Linked DNA regions of Drosophila melanogaster. The protein of the gene in region 1 interacts with the protein of each later gene in a pairwise test. Each region holds a gene or a part of one and is shown in the gene's direction. Other genes may lie near its edges.

Region 1 (6,788 bases):
GGGACTCCGCCCCGCATTGTGGCCCTCGCCAAGCGACCTTGACGTTCGGTGCTCCGGCTATCGCGCACGCTAACGCCCGCAACTCTAAACGGCTTAGGCAATGCGAAAAAGCAATAATTTGTACAAGTTCCTCGGCTGTTGTTGAAATTTCTCTACACCCAAGTAGCGCATCGAGAGAAGTGTGACCATACCCGGGAGGACTCCTTCTCACTGCACACCAAAATGTACTAAAAGCACTTATCCGAAAAACTTAGGGGCACTCCTCTGTATTTAAAAAAAATAGAACGTTAAGTATTATTATTCTTATGTTGTAATTATATTATGTCTTCGAGTGTATATAGCATATATATTTCAATTCTATTTGAAAAATTAATCCAGAAATTATTTTCACATTTTTATTTTATTAGTCGAAATAAGTCAAATATTTTAATATTTATATTTTATTATTTGGAAATGGAAATTAGGTAGATATTATTTTAATATTTTAATTTTATAACTAAAAATAATTTTTTTAAGTTAATATTTGATGTTCCAATTTATATTTTATGATATGTAATATTACGGAGATAGGCGAGTTTTACTTAATTTATTCATATCACCTTCAGGTGCTGGATATTTCCATTAAGTGGCCGAATGACATTTATGCAAATGGAAATCAGAAAATTGGGGGCCTCGTCATTAATACCACACTTCAGGGATCCCAAGCCATCGTCAATATCGGAAGTGGAATTAATTTGAACAATTCAAGACCAACAGTTTGCATCAATGACTTGATAAGAGAATATAATACCCGTGTCCCGAACAACAAGTTACCTATACTTAAGTACGAGCTACTTATTGCCATGATATTCAATGAAATCGAAAGACTTTTGGGAGAAGTACAAAACGGAGACTTTGATAGTTTTTATGCATTATACTATTCGCTATGGTTACACAGGTAAATTTAAAACATTTTTAAAATACATTTAATTTGCATATTACATTTACTAACATGTTTTTATGTACAGCGGGCAATCTGTTAAGATTTGCCTACAAAAAGATCAGGAAAAAGAGGCCGAAATTGTGGGAATCGATGACTTTGGATTTTTGGAGGTGAAATTACCAACTGGTACTATAGAAATTGTGCAGCCCGATGGAAACAGCTTTGATATGTTGAAGGGATTGATTATACCCAAGTATCAATAGTGAAATGAAGCAGATGTGAAAACTCATATTATTCCCCGAACCCTCTAGTTTAATTGGCCCTTAAGCAACTTGTACTTTTTAGGCAAATTTAGGTCAATTTATAACTACGTAAAAACGTTTATCCTTATAAATATTTACAAGGTGATTCTTCTTAAGTGGCTTTACGAAATAATAATGGATAATTTAATCCACTAAATTAAATACTGCCAAAGAGAATTATATGTTAAAGGAAGTCTCAAAATATTTATAATGACAGGTACATTTGTTTGTTCCCTATAAACCAGTGTTTGGAAATTACTTCGTAAGATAATCGCGTTTGTTACCATTGTTATCGCCATCGATTCCTCTGCATACGGGTGTTTTTGAAATTTGAATTTAATAAATACATATTCGATCATTGCTGACCTTAGACCACTGAGATTAACTGCCGCACAGGTCTTATCTTAAATTTAAGATGGATTTTTTTATTACATAATTTTTTTATTCTAAAATTGTTTATTTTATTATTCTTCTAAAATTTTTTTTTGAACTGAACTTTCATTAGAAAGTTATATTTTTTAAAATTTTTTTGAACTGAACTAAAGAGAGCTTGACAGTGTAGTTTCCTATAAAATTGTCAACACTGGTGATGCGAAGACTTGGTATAATTCCAAGTATGTGAGTTGGTTACACTGTTGCTTTGCTGGAAAAGAAAATTGTGGAATAAAACGGAGTCTGCGGCATTGGGAATTATGTCACAGCGAAATCACAGAGTGGACCGCTTCGCCCAGATGACAAAGCAGGAGGAGATCATAGCCAAGAAACGGCAAGAGATCCTCGAGAAGCAGAAGACGGCACAGCTGGCGAAGGCGGTGGCCGCGGCGCAGAACTTGGCAGCGCAGCTGAAAACCGAGACGACTGTGGGAAAACCCATTGGCAACGAGGTGGAGTATGAGGAGGATGCCCGATACCTGGACACCGCCGTCCAGGACACCTCTCTAGCGGCCGGCGAGGATGGCCTGGAGGCTGTTCACATTGAGGCCACGGCCAGCAAGGGAAAGACGGAGGACGCGGTGGCCCCCAAGACGCTGAATAGCTTCACTGGCAAAACGGGCAAGATCACATTTGGCATGAAGCGTCAGCAGCTGCCTCAGCCCAGTGTTGAGCAGCCACCACCGAAGGTTAAAAACACTTTCTGCAACGATGGTTCCTTTTTAGAGAACTTCAAGAAAATACTCGAAAAGCACGAAAAGCCTCCGCAGCCCTTGATTGTTCCGCCGGTTCCAGTGCCCAGGTGAGTCCACTATCGTAAAAATATTAATGTATATTAATTTGTGGGTAATTATAGCGCCGAGGAGAACAAAGCCGTGGACACGGAAACAGCAGAGCAGAACAACAGTCCCCAGCTAGAGGCGGCCATCGCCATAAGCTCGGCAGCAGCCATGGCTACCTCCATTACGGTGACCAGCTCGGCGCCAACTCATTTGGCTTTTGGACTACCCGTGCAAGCAGTGCAGCCACCACCGCCGCCTCCATTTGCATTCAATCCTACGCTTTTGCAACAGGGACCACCGCAGATGCAGCTGCCAGCTGCATTCTTCCACGGCCATTTGCCTCTGCACTTGCATCCGGCGGCAGTTGCTCCTCCGCCACCTCCACCGCCTCCACAGCTGCCCATCGCTCTGACCAACATGGGACAGATTTACATGCAGCTTGGTCCGTCTCCAGTGGAGGCTATGCAGCTGAATGCCATACCGGCGCCCAAAGAGTTTGACTTAAATGCCATACCTAAGCCACAAATAAATCTGGAGGCTATCCAGATGCCCAGCATCGGTGGTCATTCGACGGAGCAGCTTGGCCTCCTGCCGGACCGCATGTCCATGCCAGTGAATCCACACCCACCGCCTCCGCCGCCACCTGTAGTGGAGGAAATGGAGCAACAGCGCCAGCAGGTGGCACCTCCACATCCACCTCAGCCCACAGCTGCGCCGCCACAAGGTGTGTAACACTTGCAAAACAGTCCTCGTTGCCTGTTTTGATTTGCCATCTCCATTCCCTATCCACATCCAATATATACTCTCATTCTAACCACATCCAACTTCCTACTCATTCAATTTGTATAGAACTTTAATCGTTGAGCACGATTTTAAAGCAATTTATGTAGTTTTTTCAGAAACGTGCATACAATTGCCAACGTGCTTAGAAAACCTAATCGCACTGGTCGCGGAAAATGGTGAAGATTATGAAGATAAAATACGTTTGCATAGAAGCGAGTTGCATCCGGCCTTGTGGTAAATGACCTAAACATGTTTTAACTGGGACTAGTGGTAGTAGATGCACATAAGGGATGGACCGGGGGAGGGGGGGGGGGGGGGTCGTACAGTCCGTCTTAATTGGGGATTTTTCACGTTTACTTAATTGCTTTCGCAAGTTGAATCATTGTATAAGTGCCAGTTCTTTAGGATAGTAACAATTGAATTTTAAAAATTAGTCCGATTTATGTTATAGTTTGGTTGTTTTTAATTGCCATTACTCCGATATTTCACACGACACACACAGACGCACAGATTTCCGTTCCGCTTACTCAATCGTGAATTTAAAATCACAAACAGTGGACATGTACATGTTTTTCTTTGATGCGTTTTAAGTTAGATGTCTGATTAATACTACCAATGCCATGTAACATCTGACAAAACGGACCAACTTGATGGGGGTGTAGGAGGATTAGCCAGACCAGTCGCGTGGACTCATCGAGCGCACAGTGTTCCGTCGTTCCTCGATCGTCATCTAAAGTCTGGAGGAGCCAGCCGGCGGATGACAACTAATAATCTCTGAATAAGCCGCTATTGGGGCGCCTCAAACAGTTATTCATATAATGTCTTTGTACACGTGACTAACGTCGAGCACTTTTCATTGTACTTTTCACTTCTTTTGAATTTTGATAATAGGTTTCTTTATGATAAGAGCTGCGAGCAGTATCGAAGCTATAGCGACCAACTCCTCGACTACAAACAGCAGCGGGCTGAGCGACAACGGGAGCGGGAGCATCAGAAGCTAAGCCGGGACCATCAGCCGCAGGCGACGGAGCAGACGGACGCACAGCAACACCGCGAGGAGCAGCACAGCAACTCGGCGGCTGACAAGTACGACCCAGAGTCGGCCATCAGCGCGGACTTCGACTCGGATGACGAGTACATGCGGGGCATGATGGATCGCAACCGGGACAACATCAAGCGCCGCATTGAGTGTCGCAACGAGCTGAGCGACGAGGAGAGGCGCGAACGGGAGGAGGCTGCATCCGGAGAACCGCCGGATGGCGATGACCAGGACGACCAAGACGACAAGGAGTCGCAGAGGCAGCGTAGGAAGCGCGAGCGCAAGAGCCGATGGGGCGAGAAAGAGCAACAGTTGCCATCCTCAAGTATGTTTATATACTCTTAACCCTAAATAGTATATATATTCGTGATCACAGCCCGAGTCGATCTGTCAATTCCCGTCTGTCCGTTTATCTGCTTGTCTGTCCGTCCGTATGAACGCTGTGATCTCGCAGATTTTAAAAACCAGAAAGATGTAGACGACTGCCACTACCACTGAAATAATATGTATAATTATGACGCTACTGACAACAATCCTTATTATCTACAGGCACTTCGGGAAACTTTGGTAACCAAAATAAACCCATACTAAGTGGCATCACGCGAACAGATCCCGCGTTGTTGCAGTATGCTCGGCTCAACTATGGATCGACTCAGCTGAGCGAGGAGCAGTGGAAGCAGTGCGAGGAGCACTACAAAGTAAACCTGCTGTATCAGGACATGATGCGCAAGCGTCAGGAAATCGATCGACTGGCCCGTGGCGGTAAATTCAAGTACGAATACGACTCGGACGAGGACATTGAGGGCGGGACGTGGGAGCACAAGTTGCGAACAGCCGAAATGGAGGCCACATCCCTATGGGCAAACGCCCTGACCAAGCAAAGCGAAGGCAAGCATCACATCGGCGACTTTCTGCCCCCCGAGGAGCTCAAGAAGTTCATGGAGCAGTACGAGGCGAAGAAGAACAACAGGCAGCCGGATCTAAGCGACTACAAGGAGTACAAACTAAAGGAGGACAACATTGGCTTCCAAATGCTGCAAAAACTCGGCTGGAAAGAGGGGCAGGGCTTAGGACAGGACGGAGCTGGAATTGTGGACCCCGTTAACAAGTAGGTTACCTATCCTATGTTTGAAAGTATCTCACTGTATAATATGGCAACAGGGCACCGCAACGCGATGGAAACCAAGGACTTGGTGTCAGCAGCGCTGCCCAGCCAGAGGACTGCGACAATGAATATGACGCCTACAGGAAGCGAATGATGTTGGCCTATCGTTTTCGTCCAAATCCTTTGGTAAGTAATCCCTGGAAACTGGCAAGGGAAGAGAACATAACTAATATGATAGCTATAAATGCTTAATATATATGACTTCTTATTTGTTTGCAGAACAATCCACGTCGCGCCTACTACTAGCACTACCTAAAATGACCCCTACCCACATAACTACCAATATCCTAGGTCCACTTATTCAACTGCAACTTTGCTGAATAAAATGTCCTCGTTTAAATTAAACAGCGGACACGTCAGTTTATTTTAGGGGGTCGTTTATTCAGTAAGTAGTTCGTAATTAACTTAAATCTATTGCAAGCGTTTAGGAGTTCGATCGTACAAAGGAGTACGTAAGTAAGAAGTGTGGAGGTCTCTTAGAACGAGAGTCTGGGCTCTGGAATTCCATTTTGATTCGGCGGCACATTGCACAACTCCCAATCAAGGGACTGATTCGATTCTACCGGGAACTGGGAACTGGACCACCTAAACGCTAATAATACTAAGTTGTACTCGAACTGGAAGCGAGGGCTAGTCTAGGAGTAGAGCGTCAGCACGGGCGTCTGGTTGCCGCGCGCCAATGCCACCGGACACTTCATGTCCGACGTGAGCATCTCCAGCCATGACATGTACAGCGGTGCCGAGATGGCCTCCTGGAAATACAAAAATACGCATGTGTTAGTGGTCAATCACGATGTTAGTGCTCATTTCCGAATGTCTCACCTTGCGCGGCATGGGCAGGGACATGACCACCAGGGAAGCGTTTGATGAGTGCTTGACCACCAGCTCATGGATGCGCAGCTGGCGATTCGTCTTCTCCGACATGCTCTGCAGCTCATCGTCCGTGATGCCGAACTCGTTGCGGGCTCCGCGGCGGAAGGGCTCGATCAGCCGCTTGTGCTTCAGCACCGTGTCCGCCCGCGGCTGCTCGGAGACGCCCTTCAGCATAATGAGCTCAGAGTACTTGATGCGGAACTTGGTCAACAAGCTAGCCATGCTGTAGGGTAGAATTTACCATTTGTACTATCATATTTGTGACAATATTTTCAAAATAATAGTATAGTATAGTGAGAGTAATAATCATCTTTTGATTTCCGTCCTGGCTTCTTCTTCGGTCTCACGGAACTATATGGGATGGTGGAAGGCATATCCTCTCCTTTTTATTGATCGGAACTCTTTTCGCTCAAATGGAACCCAAACCCTTTGACCTTCGACCTTTGTATACTTTGGATTCGGAAACGCATTCTTGTGCCTGTTACGTGTT
Region 2 (3,998 bases), on another chromosome or scaffold:
ATTGATTATTATTATTTAATATACAATGTTTGATATGTAATTTAAATATTTCATTCTACAATATTCATTTAGTTTATTGACCAGATGACGTTTAGAATATTCTTTAATTAAAATTAGAAAGAGTTAAATTTCCTATATTTATGGAATGTTTTACAGCTGAAATACCTTTTAGACTGATTCGTTTGCTCTTTTTTTCTAGGACATAAAATCAAAGTACTCCCAGTCCTGAAAAATGAAAAACATGATTCTTGCCACCTGGCCTATCTTAAGTGCACCTTTAATTAGCCACGAAGGCAGTTCAAAGAACCAATGGTGGTACACAAATCAGGGCACAGTCCACTCGAGACAGAACAAAGGGAGTGAACCAAGTGGACCGGACTATATTGCCAATCCAACTTCAATTCCAGGCCAGAACTAACCAGCTCATTAAGCCAGGCTGGAATGGTTGTAGAGAATTGGGCTTTGATTGAAACTGAGTGCCAACGGGGCTAACATTAAAACGCACTTATCAGCCGAGCCGTCAAGGCCAATCCAATGTGGTTCTTGCAGTTGCTCCTCCTCCTCCTCCTAATCGGGAGCGAAGTTTAAGCACCAGAGATCTGAGGCATCCGATAAGCCCGCTGCTAAAAATAAAAATGACCAGCGAAGGAGGAACAGGAGATACCAATGCAGCTGCAGTGCATCAGAGGCGGATGGGAAACATATTCTTAGGGGGTTTTCTTAGTGTCCGGTTGAAATAAGTATATATCTTCAGTGTATACTATAAGGTGTCTAAAAATTCACATTATATTATTTATTTAGCGGACTTAACGATTTAATTAACCCTTTTCTGTGTCATATTTGTAAGCTCTTCGCATAAAACATATATTTCTTATGTACATACATATGTATCTAACCAAGTATTATAATTTTTAAGGGTACTTATGACCCCCCTAAGACCCCCATTTTGTTCGCCACTGGAGTGCATGACTCCCGTGTCCAAGCTGTGGCCAAATGTGGCCCTTGGCCTTCACTCACCTTGAGATGCCGTTGTTGTCGTCGTCGGTTGTTGCCACAGTTGTTGCATTTGCTGTTGCAGTTGAAGTTGCTGTTGTTGTCGTGGCCCCGTTGCAGTGTGCGAACAAAAAGGAGGCTGAGATGCCACAATGCTGTGGCAGCAACAACGATTGCATATCAATTACACGCTGGTCTGGATGCGGTCTTTGGCCTTGATGGTCCACCCAGCCAAGGCCCTTGGCTCGCTTGCAGATCCAGATGCAGATGCAGATGGAGATGCCAGGCAGCGATTGCTCCTCCCGCTGCGGAGAACCAGGGTCTGCCTCCCTCATTTGGGCCCACTCCAGCCTTGGCCACAATTAAACCAAATTGACAACGCCTTCACGAGGCGTCGATCCCCAAAAGGGGAGTGAAAGGCGGAGCTGCAATGTCCGTTAACGACACAAGTGGACACGACGACGCATTCGCATCTCCTCGTTTGCATTGAAGTGCATCTGATGGATACATTTGGAGAAAAAATTAATTGGCTGTTTACTATTTTAAAATGTGACAGATATTATTACTATTAGGTTATTCTTTAATGAAATACGTGTGCTTGTACAAATTTGATGAATTCTATTTAAGTACAATAAACCACCTTTTTTATCAATAATAAAATATTTTTTTAATGATTGTCATAATCATAAAATTAAAATTTCAGGAATTTAAGAACAGTCTTTTTTAGCAATATTATTATTTATATGCATTTAAATTTATGTTTTAAGCTTTGTACAAATCATTATTAAACAAATTACGAACTACTTATTTTTGGATTTAATTTAAGTCATAAAAATCACGTTACTATATTAGGGTAAAAGAGCATAAAACATTTGTATACTCTCTTAGATAATAATATGGCATACTTTTAGAATTTTTTCGCAGTGTATCAGAATAGAAGCATCTGACCGGCAGGAACCTCAGCCAGAACCAGAACCTAGAACTCGCGAAAGAACCTGCTGGGTATAAAAGGATGAAGACCTAGGCTCAGAATCAACAGTTACCAGTGAACTGACGAACAAGACTCACTCGAAGCAATCTTCCACTGCCCAACCATGAAGTATCCACTTCTGCTGTTAGGAAGCCTCAGCTTGGCCCACGGACTGGCCTTGTACTATCCCTATGCGTACACTGCCGAGGGATCCGCCGTGTTCACGCCCACCCAGCGCCAGTATATCGCCAAGGATGAGTTGGGTCAGTACTCCTATGGCTATTCGGAACCATTGTCCAGCAAACAGGAGACCCGCACCCTAGACGGAATCACCCAAGGATACTATAGTTACCGGGATGCGGCGGGAAAGCTGCAAACGGTTAACTATGTGGCCGACAACAAAGGTTTCCATGTGGCAGCCACTAATCTGCCAAAGGCTAAAGTTCCCCAGGAGTCGCTAGAATTTAGTCCCAGGAGCGCGTCGCATCCAGTAGACCACCATGTTGAGCATCACGCGGAGGTGTCGCATGCTGTAGTTCAGCATCCTGTTGGCCACCATCCCATTGAAGTTCCACATCATCACACTGTTGTTGAAAGCGGACGAAGTGCTCATCCAGATGGACATCATCCCGTCGAGCACCACGAGCACCGCGTTGCTGTAGCTCAGCATCCTGTTGGCCATCATCCCGTGGAAGTTCCACATCATCACACTGTTGTCGAAACCGGCCGAAGTGCTCATCCAGATGGACATCATCCCGTCGAGCACCATGAGCACCCCGTTGCTGTAGCTCAGCATCCTGTTGGCAACCATCCCGTTGAGGTTCCTCATCATCACACTGTCGTTGAGAGCGGTCGAAGTGCTCATCCAGAGGTGCCCCATTCTATCGAACACCACGAGCACCCGGTTTCTGGCTCAGACCCATCCGGATCCCATGGTGGCCACTCCCAATTGCCTCATCCCGTTTCTGATACCGCAGAAGTGGCTGCGGCCAAGTCGCTTCATCTTCAACGCGTCCACGATGAAGGCGTGCGCAACCAGGTGCTGGCCAAGATTCCAGTTGCTGTGGCTCGCAGCCACCATGTCGTGGTTCCTGCTCCGGTCTACGGCTACACCATTCCCAGGTACTACACCCCCGGATTTTACTATTGAATGGCAGCTGAATTCGCACGATTTGGTTCATTATTTAAGAATTTCGAATTTAAATTAAAAAATTGTCAATCAGTCTGCAACGTTTCTTTTGAAGTGGTAATGGGATAATATAAAGAAATTTTTAGCAAATTCATTTTGGTAACACAATATTTGTTCGAAATATATTCTTTCTAAGTATTCTTTCTAAAATTATTCTTCAATCAACAAATTTCTTTATAATTTCTAGTTTTAACATTTGTATCTTTATTTGAATATAATCATAACTAAACTCGCGACACCTAAAGTTCAAGATCCGGCTGAACTGAACCCTTTAGCTGCCCAACTCCTGGACTCACGGAACACGTTCACTCGGACCCTGTCCTACCTCAACCTTTTGGCCCCCCGACCCACCGATCACATTCCACATATGTGCAGCATAAACTCTTCATAAATGTGGGCCGAATTTTGATTTCAATTAAATTTAATAGCAGCATAAACAACGGCAAAGGCAACAACCTAAATAACTAAAACTGGAATTGGTAGCCGGCGTGTCCTATAGCCCCACCCGGTTCCTTGACCCCTATCCGGATGATTTGCAGCTCACACTGAGAGAAACAAATGACCAATAAGTATGACACATTTTTATAAAAGTTTAAAAGTGCTGTTAAAACATGGTAACTCTTGGTTATCATTCGACACTAATTATTTAAATAACGTTGTTTCTAGCTCGAAAATAACGAAAGTCTTAGCTTTTTAATTAATTAAAAAATTACAACCTCTCTTCATTTCATAATTTTTCTTCATTTTTCAACTCCACTTTCTCTCAGTGCACATCCGGAGCCACTGAAGAGCAGCCAGCAGCCTGATTAAGTTCTTGCTTTGTGGCATTGCGGAACGTTGTTGCTT
Region 3 (3,830 bases), about 25 Mb from region 1:
ATCCAGACATAAACGCTGTGCAAACAAAGATGTCAGATACAAACACCCTCACAAGTGATGCTAAGTAAACAACTATTTCGATGTGACTCTCTAAATCTCTCCATCTCCTGCCCTCAAATTTCATAGCTGAACAGGTGGTTATATTCTCATTGCAATTATTTATTTGGAGTCTCTCATCCGTAATCTAAATGACTGCAGACAGAGTGTTCTTTAAAATTTGCTAAATTCGTTACTGCTCATTCACTTAGTACGAGATGCCGGTGTTGTCGCGGATCCAGTCCAAGTATCCAGTGACACGGCTGAAGACAGCGGGAGCACCAGACTGGCAGCCGGCGGAGGAAACGAAGGAGGTCACTCCGACCAGGCGGTTGCCCTCGTGTGTCACCAGGGGACCACCGGAGTCACCTCCGCAGGTGGACTTTCCGCCGTTGGTGTTGATGCAAATCATGTTGTCGTGGAGAGACCAAGTGCGGCTGCAATCACTCTGGGACATGATCTGGACATCGACAGCCTGGAGCCAGTCGGGCAGTGGGCTGCCATCGTAGGTGCCGCCCCATCCGGAGGCCACGGCCCACCATCCGGCGTAGTCCTGGTAGCGGTCGTTGTAGCTGGGCAGCTCCACCTTGTTGACCAGGTGCCAGAAGTCGACGTGCGGGGTACGGATCAGGGAGATGTCGTTGTGCAGGTTGCCGCTGTTGTAGTGGTGGTGCTGGACGAAGTTTCCGCTTCCAACCCAGTGGGTGTACTGGGGCTGGTTGCGCAGACTGGCTCCGTAGTTGATGGTCACTCCACTGGCTCCGTTGGTGCAGTGGGCGGCGGTCAGGACCCAGGTGTTTCCGATGATCGAGCCACCGCACCACCAGTTTCCATTGCCGCTGAACAGCAGACCCACGATGTAGGGAACCTTGCCCTCGTAGGCTGGGTAGCCGTTGGTAATGCGACCCTGGATCTTGACATCCTTCACCGGGGTGGGGACCAACTTTTGCTCTGGGGTAGGAATGGCTGTGGCTGCGGCCACGGCCAGAGCCAGGAATACGAGCAGTTTCATCTTGGACAGGTCTTACAACTCATGGTTTTTCCAAAAACTGAACGCACTTTTATACTGAATACAATGGCTTATCATTCCCAGGAAACGACGGCTGTATATTTTGTCCAGAATTTGGCATGATAAGTTTGGCGTCTGAGAAGTGGGAGGAACGGAACGAGTCTTTCGTGAATATATGGCGTGTACTCAAGATTTCAAAGTTTCGTATATTCTGTAATGTGTGAAAACTCCGTTGTCTTACCATATTTCCCTAAACATTTTGTTTTTATTTTTATGTTAGTCTTTAAAGTTTTGATATAATGGTAAAGTAATCGTAGTATGGACTTTCCATTGCAATGCTGAATGAGTACAAAAATAATGAATGAAAGCCGCAATCAGTTCATAATTTTTAGCTGGTAGCTCCTAGTAGTACATTTTTATCAGTAGAGAAAGACGTTTATTTATGGTCGCTACTCAAGTAATTATCATTCATCGTACGTGTGTCCTAAACTAGATTAGAGACATAAGTGTGATTGTTGAGGAAGATATGCGTACCTCGTAAATATCAAACATAAACCTTTCAGATCGTCAAAGACGTAACAGACTACGACTTTTAGAATTTAATTATTTATATATCTAGTTTCCTGTTTAGCTTAAGAATTGAAAAGTATCCTTAAAGGACAAAATTTAAAGCGTTGATTCATTTCGTCATGCGATCGCGACTTTTAAAGCTGCTGCTTAGTAAATATTTTACTGATAGAATATGATAGTATGTAATGTAAATGTATATTTATTTGATTTTTGTATGTTGGTTCGATTTGCAAATGTGATAATCGTCTTGACAATCTTTAATTTTATATAAATTGTAAGATCGAAGGATTACATTACAGACTATGGACTTACTCTAATAATGGCACTCATCAATTGCCAAGTACAGGCAATAATTTAAGTTTTATCAGCCAGCTTAACTTGCCACGACAGAAATCTGGCAAAATATATTGGCAACAAGTATTACTAAAAAGCGACAAGAAACCATGGTATTGATAAGGCGATGGTATAAAAGCTCGGTCCGTTTCTGAACAAGGCACAAGTTGTTAGACCTGCCAAGATGAAACTGTTCGTATTCCTGGCTCTGGCCGTGGCCGCCGCCACAGCCATTCCTACCCCGGAGCAAAAGTTGGTCCCCACCCCGGTGAAGGATGTCAAGATCCAGGGTCGCATTACCAACGGCTACCCAGCCTACGAGGGCAAGGTACCCTACATCGTGGGTCTCCTTTTCAGTGGCAATGGAAACTGGTGGTGCGGTGGCTCGATCATCGGCAACACCTGGGTCCTGACCGCCGCCCACTGCACCAACGGAGCCAGTGGAGTGACCATCAACTACGGAGCCAGTCTGCGCAACCAGCCCCAGTACACCCACTGGGTTGGAAGCGGAAACTTCGTCCAGCACCACCACTACAACAGCGGCAACCTGCACAACGACATCTCCCTGATCCGCACCCCGCACGTCGACTTCTGGCACCTGGTCAACAAGGTGGAGTTGCCCAGCTACAACGACCGCTACCAGGACTACGCCGGATGGTGGGCCGTGGCCTCCGGATGGGGCGGCACCTACGATGGCAGCCCACTGCCCGACTGGCTCCAGGCTGTCGATGTCCAGATCATGTCCCAGAGTGATTGCAGCCGCTCGTGGTCTCTCCACGACAACATGATTTGCATCAACACCAACGGCGGAAAGTCCACCTGCGGAGGTGACTCCGGTGGTCCCCTGGTCACACACGAGGGCAACCGCCTGGTCGGAGTAACCTCCTTCGTTTCCTCCGCCGGCTGCCAGTCTGGTGCTCCCGCTGTCTTCAGCCGTGTCACCGGATACTTGGACTGGATCCGCGACAACACCGGCATCTCGTACTAAGAGCTTAGTGTTTTTCTACTAATAGCTTAGTGTTTTCTTTTCCGTTTATCTTTTTGGAATTTTTTAATAAAATTTGTAGAACATAAATTTGCGGACTTTTATATCTTTGTACTATTTTGAATGTTCATGTTTTGTTTGTTTTGTCGTTTGCCAATTTTGTTACAAACCTATCTCAAAGCGAAATTTAATTTCGGAAATAGTTAAGAGCGTTTTGCTCTATAGACTGAGCAGTCTATTTAGATGGCGCCACATAGTAACTACGAAGGATATTTCTTATTCGCCTGCGCAAGACCTTCTTTGCTAGAAATAATCCTTTTATTATTTCCCCCAAAAAAGGAATGAGTATTATTAAAAACCCTTAACTTTTTAGTCGGAGGTGCCAATAGGGAGCACTAAACTACGGCAATATTTTATCACATGATAAGTGCAGAGGAAGTGTGTCTATTGAAAATTTATGACGAATGAATTCACGAATTGTCAAGTTTGTAACGCTTAGAGGTACATAAAATAATATTTGAGTCATTGCAAAAATGTAAATTTATCAATTTAATCTTTAATCGAGTTATACGGTACAAAAAAAAATGCCAATGTACCCAAGAAATCTGTTAAGAACTATTATAAATCAAACTGAATTTGTGCCGATAACCAGTTACGACTTTAAATGATGTTTGTATTTATTTGGCCACGATGAACTGATAACAGCTTTCACTCACAATTTTCGTCTATTATAATAGGCTTCCGTTGAAACCAACTTTTTTATTATAAATGACAGCTTAGCCAGTACATCCTATCATCCTAGTTAAAATTCAGGCTAATATATTTTATTTTGGCTAATACCGAATGCAAAATGGCCGGCCATTTTTCGCCTCCCTTGGCCTTTTCACATTTCAGGCC

Evidence for each region. The genes of interacting proteins can lie anywhere in the genome.
Region 2: the proteins of CG31550 (region 1) and Cpr72Ea interact in a two-hybrid assay, tested with the Drosophila melanogaster proteins (one large-scale study listed by BioGRID).
Region 3: the proteins of CG31550 (region 1) and Jon99Fii interact in a two-hybrid assay, tested with the Drosophila melanogaster proteins (one large-scale study listed by BioGRID).

What each region holds. Positions count from the first base shown.
Region 1 is NT_033777.3:5,483,723-5,490,510, forward strand, and holds CG31550 (uncharacterized protein), read left to right. Parts: upstream 1-1,820; 5' UTR 1,821-1,916; coding exon 1,917-2,458; intron 2,459-2,512; coding exon 2,513-3,162; intron 3,163-3,328; coding exon 3,329-3,455; coding exon of another isoform or gene 3,456-3,459; exon of another isoform or gene 3,460-4,112; coding exon 4,113-4,585; intron 4,586-4,809; coding exon 4,810-5,368; intron 5,369-5,421; coding exon 5,422-5,551; intron 5,552-5,644; coding exon 5,645-5,671; 3' UTR 5,672-5,767; downstream 5,768-6,788. Other genes in the region: Hcs (holocarboxylase synthetase), read left to right, coding at 606-937, 1,008-1,185; NKCC (sodium potassium chloride cotransporter), read right to left, coding at 6,061-6,177, 6,248-6,521.
Region 2 is NT_037436.4:16,360,563-16,364,560, forward strand, and holds Cpr72Ea (cuticular protein 72Ea), read left to right. Parts: upstream 1-2,040; 5' UTR 2,041-2,087; coding exon 2,088-3,113; 3' UTR 3,114-3,188; downstream 3,189-3,998.
Region 3 is NT_033777.3:30,486,206-30,490,035, reverse strand, and holds Jon99Fii (jonah 99Fii), read left to right. Parts: upstream 1-2,107; 5' UTR 2,108-2,132; coding exon 2,133-2,936; 3' UTR 2,937-3,020; downstream 3,021-3,830. Other genes in the region: Jon99Fi (jonah 99Fi), read right to left, coding at 245-1,048.